Linked DNA regions of Arabidopsis thaliana. The protein of the gene in region 1 interacts with the protein of each later gene in a biochemical or structural test. Each region holds a gene or a part of one and is shown on either strand. Other genes may lie near its edges.

Evidence for each region.
Region 2: the proteins of HD1 (region 1) and AHL22 form a complex in vitro, tested with the Arabidopsis thaliana proteins (one study listed by BioGRID).

What each region holds. Positions count from the first base shown.
Region 1 is NC_003075.7:17,895,551-17,901,344, forward strand, and holds HD1 (histone deacetylase 1), read right to left. Parts: upstream 3,960-5,794; 5' UTR 3,754-3,959; intron 3,513-3,753; 5' UTR 3,508-3,512; coding exon 2,980-3,507; intron 2,896-2,979; coding exon 2,455-2,895; intron 2,325-2,454; coding exon 2,094-2,324; intron 1,839-2,093; coding exon 1,768-1,838; intron 1,680-1,767; coding exon 1,622-1,679; intron 1,194-1,621; coding exon 1,122-1,193; coding exon of another isoform or gene 1,113-1,121; exon of another isoform or gene 1,048-1,112; coding exon 943-1,047; 3' UTR 728-942; downstream 1-727. Other genes in the region: AT4G38120 (ARM repeat superfamily protein), read right to left, coding at 1-172, 247-510; AT4G38140 (RING/U-box superfamily protein), read right to left, coding at 4,318-4,755; AT4G38150 (Pentatricopeptide repeat (PPR) superfamily protein), read right to left, coding at 5,661-5,794. UniProt on the Arabidopsis thaliana protein: Responsible for the deacetylation of lysine residues on the N-terminal part of the core histones (H2A, H2B, H3 and H4).
Region 2 is NC_003071.7:18,725,492-18,729,938, forward strand, and holds AHL22 (AT-hook motif nuclear-localized protein 22), read left to right. Parts: upstream 1-2,012; 5' UTR 2,013-2,356; coding exon 2,357-3,310; 3' UTR 3,311-3,781; downstream 3,782-4,447. UniProt on the Arabidopsis thaliana protein: Transcription factor that specifically binds AT-rich DNA sequences related to the nuclear matrix attachment regions (MARs). Binds an AT-rich DNA sequences in the FLOWERING LOCUS T (FT) promoter.

The DNA.
Region 1 (5,794 bases):
TCTCGAAGCATTGGATCACAGGTTCGATTCTGGAGAAATAGGCAGCGGAATAAGGTGAAGAAGGCATGGGTTGGCGAAGAAGAAACTCCAAGACAGAAGCAAAAGAGTGAAGAAGGAGCGGCCATGACGAAGAATTTAGTTGGAAAAGTAGACGAGCACAAACATCGTGAATCTGGATTAATAAAAAGGAGGAGAGATCCCATTAATAACAAGGAAATGATGGGAGGAGAGAAGGAGAAGACGCACCAGTTGACAAGTATGACGAGAGACAGGGATCCAGTCAGGACCATCAGCTTTGGAAACCAAATCGAGCAGGAACAAGCAATCGGAAGTGAGCTCGTGCAGTGGGAGGTGAGAGACGGCAGAGATAAGGGAATGGGATTGAGAGAAGAGTAGATCCTCGAGCAACAGAGGAACCGGCGGCGGTGGAGTGGTTGAGATTTCGTCCCTGAGAGAGAGAAACGCCGTCCGCCACCTTCCCACGCTTGACGAAGCTGCCGCCGTGAACATGTTTCAGTCTCCCGGGAAAAAACTAAGCAATCAAAAACGAGAACGACGAGAGACAGACAGAGAGACGCTTAATAGTCTTAAAGGGATTTACATTTTTTTAATTTAGAGTTAGAAATCAATTGTGTTACAGGAAAACATCTTCTCCACCCACTTCACTAGTTGATGATGTTCATTGCTGCGTTTAGCACATCAATTCTTTATTTTTTTGGGGTGGGCAGACGCAGATCTCTTCGGCCCAATCAATAAATATATAGCAAAAGGAATAGCTCGTCTTGTCATATCATATCATCATTCAGACATGCAACGAATAAATACATATCCGTGCTCAATCCTCTAAAACAGAGGAGTGCTTACAACAACAACAACTCCAGAAACTTAACTAGCAACATTTGATAGACAGAAAAAGTAGCAAGAAATTAGAAGCTCCGAGTCTTATGTTTTAGGAGGAAACGCCTGCTCCGCCCCACCCTTGTTTGTTCCTTCCTCTTCCATTTTCACACTTGCTTCCTCCACTCCCACTGGGTTTACTCCTGTAACCTGCAATCAAAACTAACCACTTTAGAAAACCACCATTCCCACCCTTTTCAGCCCTGTCCACTGCTTCATTTTACCTTAGTGCTTCCACTCTCATCCACCTCCACCTCACAACCTTTTCCACGCTCCATAATTCCTTTCAGTCCATCCTGCACGAACAACATGCCATGATAAATAAATTAATCTCGGAAGAAAAGGAGACGGCTTTAGGAATTGAGAGGCAGAGATGATTCAGCTCAGCTTGGCTAGACGGTCACACTATCTAATCAGGTCAATTGTTGGAGCTGGGAGCATACTAAATAAATAGCCTAGGCTAAATGATTTAACCGTAGCTAAAGATTCGCTACCCTCATGTGAATGTATCTCCAGCTTAAACTAACTGACTTAATGTCAGAATGAGACTCATTCTGGAATCTTTAGGTTTTGGGTCTCGGGATGAGAAAAAGTGTAATGTTATCAGAGCACATTGTGCTGTTCTGGAAAATGCTGTAAACCTAGATGAACTAATGACTTCAAATGTTTGTACCAGAAAAAGTGTCTGAGAAATCGAAACAATTAAGAGATAATGCTGTAGTACCTTGTCCTTTGTATCTGGTTCAACAGCTTCTCTTTTTACTCTGCTTGGTATAGGTTTACTGCACAATGCGATCCCACATTAAGTAAACATTACACCGCTGACTCGAACCAAAAATAAAAAGGGGAGGAAACATATATATTTCATACCGGTCATCATCAACATCCATGTCTGAATCCGGATCCCATCTTTTATCCCCATCTTCTTGGTCTTCATCAACCTATAATTTACATAGAAGGCATATTTTACAAAACTAAGATTGGTAACAACCAGAGTCATCAATCAAGGAATACTTATACATATCTAACTGGACGAACATTATTTACCAGCCCAGCTGTTTAAATTAGAAAATTCTTATTGTAACTGCAGTTACACTTAGATAAGCTCACCAAAACCCATGAGGAAATGCAAGAAAGAATGGGCAACAGAAATAAAGGAGCCAACACACTTCAAATGATTTGCTCAAGTGGCATACCTCGGGAGTCTCTGTATCAGGTGGTCTTTCCTGAAATGGTACACTTGGAGCATGCTGAAGCTTAGAGAGATTGTGGAGAAGGTCATTGCGAATCTCTTCAAGCATCTGACGAGAATTCTTATTTTCCATGTTACTTGGAGCAACGTGAAGTGTATAGTCTGGACCAAAGTATTCATAATATTCATGCTCCGGCATCTTGTCTTCAACTTCAACTCCAAGTGCAACTCCAGTCTGTCATATAAACAGTTTGTTGTAATAAATTCAAAGAAAGAGAGGCGTCACAGAGGGCTAACCTTGGTACAGAGACCAAGGAAATTTCAATGCAAAGCTAGAGCAGCATAAAATGAACAGAAGAAAGTACCTCGTAGCACCAGCAACGGGCAACATTGCGGATAGTGTAACCACCACCACCCAAGAGCAGTAGGGGAACATTGAACGATCTCATAAATTTGACGCACTCAGCATGACCTTTGATTGAAAGATTAAAGCACCCCAACCTATCACCAGACAATGAATCAGCACCACATTGCAATACCACAGCCCCTGGTCGGAAAATTTCCATAACTTTCCCCATGATGGGCTTGAATAACAGATGATAGCTCTCATCATCGATTCCATCATCCAGTGGTACATTGAGAGAATAGTACTTTCCGCTACCATAACCTATATCCTGAATGTGACCTGTACCGGGAAAGTAATCACCAAATTTATGAAACGAGACAGTCATAACCCTGTCAGTAGCATAAAATGCCTCCTCCACTCCATCCCCGTGGTGGATATCAATATCGACATAAAGAACACGCTGCAAACGAGAGAGGAAGAGTTAGAGATTCAGAAACGACATAACCATCCCTAGCATATATCAAAACGGTGCAGGTGGACAAACCTCATGCTGCTTAAGGAGCTCTAGGATAGCTAAGACGATATCATTGACGTAACAGAAGCCAGAGGCCTCGCACTTCTTAGCGTGATGGAGACCACCAGCCCAGTTGATGGCAATATCGCAGAGGCCGTGGTTAAGCTTGACAGAGCCACCAACAGATCCTCCAGCATAGGTCTGGCAAAAGGAATAAAGGCCGTCAAAGACGGGACAGTCTTCACCAACATTGAAGCGCTTAAGTTGGCGAATCTGATCTTGCTGGGTTTCAGGGGTAATGCTGCGGAGAAAAGAGACATAGTCGTCGGCGTGGAAGCGGCAGAGATCACGGTCGCGGGCAGGGAAGGGCTTGAGAACCTGCATATGCTGAAGGAGACCGTAGTGAGCGAGGAGGGCATGGGTCATGCGGATGCGATGGGGCTTCATGGGATGACCTTGGCCATAGTAGTAATTGCCGACCTCAGGGTCATAGAAATAACAAACTTTCCTCTTCACACCATCAGGTCCGGACGCCAGCGAATTGCCGCCAGTATCCATTACCTCTGCACGCACGCCGATCCATAAAAATTATATTATTAAAAAATGATAACTAAACCCTAGCCGCGGAGTAGCTGAGCCATGGACGCGTTTGAATGACAACAACAACATTTTTTTAAGTTACGAAAAAATCAAATCTAGTGTGCAGAAGAGACAGGAAGGCGAGTGAAAGATATTAAAAGACGGCGAGGCTAGACAGACGCCGGAAAATGGAATCACGCAGACAAGGAAGAGAGTCTGACTGACCTTTTTCGTAGGATCAACGGTGTGTTGTAATCACAGTCGCAGTCAAATGGTCGGAGGAGAAGCTGCGATGATCTCTCTCTCTCTCTCTGGCTTTCTTCTTCCTTCCTCCTCGCCGAGGGGAAGGGAGCTGCTCTCTGCTTTGCTTTCAGATTTTCTTTCACCTCTGACTGAAACTGTAGCCTACTTACTCTTCTCTTCCAACTTTTTCTACTTTCAGTTTATAATGGAAAGGCCCACTTTTAATCTGTTATGGTTTAAAATGAGGCCCACTTTTAATGTGTTTTAAAAATAAGGCCTATTAAGTTGCCTTTAGCCCGTTTACTTAATGGTCTTACGCAGAGTAACAAATCAATTAGGAAACAGAGCACTAGAGCAGCAGTAGGCACTAGGCAAGGCTGGTAAAACTAAACTCGTGCTGCTTTTGTCTCTGTTTAGTACAGTATATCATAAAACTGAGTAATCCACAAAATCTTGATTGAAAAGGAGATGGAGACAATATGTGCTTGGAAACTAAGACAAAATACATGTTAAATAAAGAATGGGTGTGTTAACAAGGAAGCTAGGCTACAAGTATCCAAGTAGATGGAGAAAGATACAGAAAAAGAAGAAGATAGAGAGATACAAGGTGGAAGAGGAGTGTGCATTATTGACATTTTGTGTAGGAGGAGTTGGAGCCAATACAAATGATCTGCAGAGAGGGCAAGTGAGGTGGCCACGGAGAAGCCAAGGTTCTATGCAATTGATATGGAAGAGATGAGCGCATCTGGGAAGATGGGTCACCGCATCCTCAGCCTCAAACTCCACCAGGCATATGGGGCAGCAAATTTCCTCCTCCTTTTCCTTGTCCCCAAACATCACTCCCACTAGGTTGTAACCGTCATCATCATGCGCATCCGCATCTCCACCATTCTTCTTCAACCTCCCCAAGGGAATGCACACACATGTGTAGAATACTATGGCTGCTGTGCACAAAGGCGACCGCGGAAACAACATTGAAATCATCTTTCTCCAGCTTTCTGCTTCTTTACCTCATTCCTTCCCTCTCTTTTATAGACTAATATCATCGAGTAGGGACGGCGCCGACCCCACCTCCCATCTCTTATTATATTCTTTTGTTGTTTTTCTTTAATCAAGTCAGCGATTCTCCCAACTCCAAGAAAACTCTTGGAGAGGTTATGGTCAACATACGAGATGCACATGCTTCCATCTTAAGCACTACCTGATACTTGCATTTAACAATAGTAAACAATACAAGAATCACATGACGCCAAAAGTAAACAAACAAAAGATGGCATTCATATCCAGTGTATTATTTATATATATATTAAAAGTAAGGAGTCATTCTTCCATCAAGACAGGCCTTGACTTCCGAGTTCACGAATATAATACAGCCGACCAAATCAAGTAAAGATCTCCGAGTGAATCATAAAAACTATTTTAATGTTGACTCCACGCATTTTGTATTCAATATAGCGCCAGCTTCTACAGAACAGACCTCCACGTCCCTGAGATCAGCAGTGCCTTTGGAGGATGATGTAGTTTTATGCCTGGTGTATGTAACCAATGATACTATTGTTCATATTTGTTCATGAAGTCGGCCACATTTGCAATAGACAGTCACATACATCATTGGTAATGACTGATAAGCGTCAAGCATAATTTGACACCCTATACCGCCAACACAACGCTATTCATTGAACTTGCAATCAATATTAGAATGCATGAAAACAGGGAACTACATCTACAACTACACATTTTTAAAGGACATAGGAAAAAAAAAAAAACTCGATACCTGACTCCAAGCAGAAAAAGGAAGACTCATATTGATTTTCACTTTCAAGGTTGTTATTACAAGTCAAGAAAACATCTTACTGAGACGGCATACTTAACAGCACTGCGTAAGTAAATCAGAAGGGTTTCTCGGTTGGTTTCTTCTTGAAGATGGCTTCCCAAGCCAAAGACGGAAATGGAGCCCTTTTATCCATGAACTCCTTGACAGCCTTAACATTAACGGCAAATCCTTTTTGGTTTAAGGTATCAA
Region 2 (4,447 bases), on another chromosome or scaffold:
ACTGAAGAAGCTTACATATTTTGGGAAATTTGACAATTTTGACATATTTTAAGGTAATCATTTTGAGTGGTGAACTTTTGTGAAAAATCACTCGTTGGTGACCAAAAATATTCCCCATCGTGACGTGAAAGCCACCCTTCTGAACTTCAGGCATATCTCTGAACTGAGTCAATGTTTTAAGTAATTTAATTTACCATTAAATGAATCCTTCACGCGTGTCAGCGGCTGCACGTGCGAGTGTGAGCTGGTCCTCGCTGGATTGTCTTGTTACGTGAAGGCATCGCAACCGACGGGGACAAACATCCAACGGCGTCTGACGCGCCTGTTATCTTCTCTTTCCTCCACTTCCTGTCTCTTTAGTTTTCCCCCAAGCTTACGCGATTTACGAGCTTGAATCTGCCTTATCGACCCAACATACACAATTAATCTCCGAATATTATACTATGCTCCTAGAGTCCTAGTAGTAGAAACTTACTTTATGCTAAAAAGCCACAAGCAAAATAAAGGAATCGGCTGAAAATAAAGGAATTTAAGCCAGTTCTTCTTGAAATGTTTAATTGGTAACTTTCAAACTGGTGCAACAGCTTTCATAATAATTTTAAGGAGTTGAAAATTTAACGTTTCCACATTCTTTTAGTTGAGTTAGACAATGAATAAAAATTCAATCTGATGTTGATGGTGTATTTTATAATTAACGACCAATTGATGTTGTGTAAACACAATCATTAATATACTACTTCGTATACACAATTTTCACTTTGATGACTAAAACCATGTGATAGTAGAATCGTTAAAATAAAAGAAATTTGTGATTTTTAAATAAATTTAAGTACACAGAGACTATATACATTAAAATTTGATTTAGTAAAACAACAGTATCCATATTCCACAATATATAATAGGCACAGTACTATGTGTATAATTTTTTTTCTAAAAAAAGCACAGTATGTGTATATATAATATATATATATATATACATATACAATTAAGTGGTTCTGATAGATTTTAAGTGAAATATTTAAAACAAGTTCTGTCATTATCCAACCACAATAACGTCTCTTCTTCATAATTTCAGCTTCTTTTCTCCAATTCAACTCTTTATTATTTGTCACTAACTTTTATGCACTTTAATTAATCTTAACGTACACATGTAGTATATTATTAAAAGTATTTTTGTTCATAAAAACAATTGTATGATGTGAGAACAAGAAAATAATTAAATTTGTTCTGCAAACAACCCCCAACGAATCCTCTAAAGTCTAATGTATGCATCATGCAATCGGGATTCATAATGGTCGTAAAAAATTTCTTCTTTCAACGCAAATCGAAGTTTATGATACGTAAACGCAAAATTAATACTGATACTCCTCAACACAGTATACTTTTATTTTATCACTAAGTGACGTTTAAAAGTTTAAACGAACTATAGATAAGCTGTAAGGTTTATCCTACCCACTTTATTTGTACTGTAGAGTTTAACTTTTTCTGTTGCTCTATAAGTTTTTGAATGTGTAAATTGTTTTTTTTTTTTTTTTTTATGTTCTACCGTTACATCGAGAAACATAATATAATGAAAAGACTCGTGACTGTTTGCTAAAAAAATAAGACTCGTGAATTGATAAAATGTAATTAAAAGACCGTACATTAAGGCATGTACCACCTACAAAATCATGCATATATGCATCAGTTTCATCATGAGCTTCATTTTTTTTTAATTAGTATCCTTTGATCAGATTTAATATAAGACTCGTGCGCTTCAATTTGTGTGTCCATTATAATGTTTGATATAATCTCACGCATCCATGGACTATCTAGTAAACCTCATCCAATATTTTCATAGACTAAAAAAGAAAAAAACCTTATACTTCAAATTTTCAATTAAAGGGAGACGAAACACAACTGAAAATTATTACACAACTAACAAAGAGAAATATTTTTAAAGAAAAAAATTGTAGAGCCCACAAAGTGATGCAGTAGGTAGGACCCACACACCGCCCATGCGGCACGCTGTCTATCTAAACCAAAACTAACCCATTCATCATTCATCTTAACCTTAACCTCCTCCTCCTCTCTGACCTAACCCTAAACCCATCTCTCTCTCCTTCTTCTTACAAGCTTCATCTACATGTATTACTAGTGCAGCTCCAGTTTCGTCTTACATGTATATGACTTTTGTATTACCCTTCTCTTAATTTCTCTACTTCAGATTTTTTTCTCCTTAGATTAATTTAATTGAGTTATTGTACATCCCTCAAGCTAAGATTCTGGTTTTGTGAGTTGAGTGGATGAGAAGAGGAGAGATTAACTAAATTAGGGTTTCAATTGTTTACTTTTTGTTTGCTTTTTATATCAAGTAATGGATCAGGTCTCTCGCTCTCTTCCTCCACCTTTTCTCTCAAGAGATCTCCATCTTCACCCACACCATCAATTCCAGCATCAGCAGCAGCAGCAGCAACAGAATCACGGCCACGATATAGACCAGCACCGAATCGGTGGGCTAAAACGTGACCGAGATGCTGATATCGATCCCAACGAGCACTCTTCAGCCGGAAAAGATCAAAGTACTCCTGGCTCCGGTGGAGAAAGCGGCGGCGGAGGAGGAGGAGATAATCACATCACGAGAAGGCCACGTGGCAGACCAGCGGGATCTAAGAACAAACCAAAACCGCCAATCATCATCACTCGAGACAGCGCAAACGCTCTCAAATCTCATGTCATGGAAGTAGCAAACGGATGTGACGTCATGGAAAGTGTCACCGTCTTCGCTCGCCGTCGCCAACGTGGCATCTGCGTTTTGAGCGGAAACGGCGCCGTTACCAACGTTACCATAAGACAACCAGCTTCAGTACCTGGTGGTGGCTCATCTGTCGTTAACTTACACGGACGTTTCGAGATTCTTTCTCTCTCGGGATCATTCCTTCCTCCTCCGGCTCCACCAGCTGCGTCAGGTCTAACGATTTACTTAGCCGGTGGTCAGGGACAGGTTGTTGGAGGAAGCGTGGTTGGTCCACTCATGGCTTCAGGACCTGTAGTGATTATGGCAGCTTCGTTTGGAAACGCTGCGTATGAGAGACTGCCGTTGGAGGAAGACGATCAAGAAGAGCAAACAGCTGGAGCGGTTGCTAATAATATCGATGGAAACGCAACAATGGGTGGTGGAACGCAAACGCAAACTCAGACGCAGCAGCAACAGCAACAACAGTTGATGCAAGATCCGACGTCGTTTATACAAGGGTTGCCTCCGAATCTTATGAATTCTGTTCAATTGCCAGCTGAAGCTTATTGGGGAACTCCGAGACCATCTTTCTAAATCGCGAAGAAAAAACAAGTTAGATACGTTCGTTGTTTTTAATTTATAATCTCTCTTCTGTCAAGTTTTAATTTTCTTTTTCTTCTTCTTTGTTTTCTAAAGATAATTGTAGTCTTTGACGAAGATTCGTGGTACGTATGAATCGAAGAGAATCGTTTTGGTCATGGGATTGATCGATCTATTAGGTTTGAGAGGGGGTTTGTGTTTTGCGTTGACTAGCAGATTATAAAATTGTTGATTTTCGAGTTTTTATTTTCATGTGTTGGTGATAATTAGCTTTGTGTCTATCTATGTATGTTGAATTCTAGTGCATAGTTATTATATCGTTGAAAGGTTGTGATTAAGGTTAAACAGGTCACTAACAATGTCAAATTGTTATGTTCTTCCGTTAGATTTTGGGTAATAGGTCAAATGAATTTCTTCAAGTCCGTTACTGCTGATTAATCAAACTCTAAACTCATTTTCCAAAATCACGTTGTTTGTACTTTTTTCTGTTCAAAGAGTTAACAACGGTTATTTTTATTTTAAAGTTTAAACGGCTGTAGATATTTATAATTTAACTTAAGTTGGAAGACATAAGAAAAAAAAAGATGATTGTTCCGAGGTTGGTTAGAAGATGGTGAGGCAAGAGGCATAATGACAAGAACAAGACTTGGGAACAAGGTGATTGCATTTGGCAGATACTTTACATTTACACGAAAATCTTTGTATAAACATCCAAATATTAAAATCTAAACTAATTTTCATAATCACTTTTTGGTTATTGAAAAAGGTATTGACTAGGAATTAGATTCTAGAACTTGGAACAAGAGAATGATATATGATTGTATAATTGACTAACTCACTTGATCAAGTTGCATATATAGACATGGATTTGATGGAAGTATGTATACATATAGAAATTGTGTGAGCAGGGTTTTGTAAGTGAGAGATGAGAAAGCAATTAAGGTTGGGGAAGAGAAGAGCATTGGATGATGCACCGACGCACGTGCATGTCTCTGAGAGAGAAAGAAGAAAAGTTCCTTTACGAGGCGATGAGTGAAAGTGAGAAGAAAGAGAGAGTTCCTTACTTCCAAAGCCACCTCCCTCCCACTTTGCCCATCATTCATTTCCTCTCACTCTCTCTTTTTTTTCTTT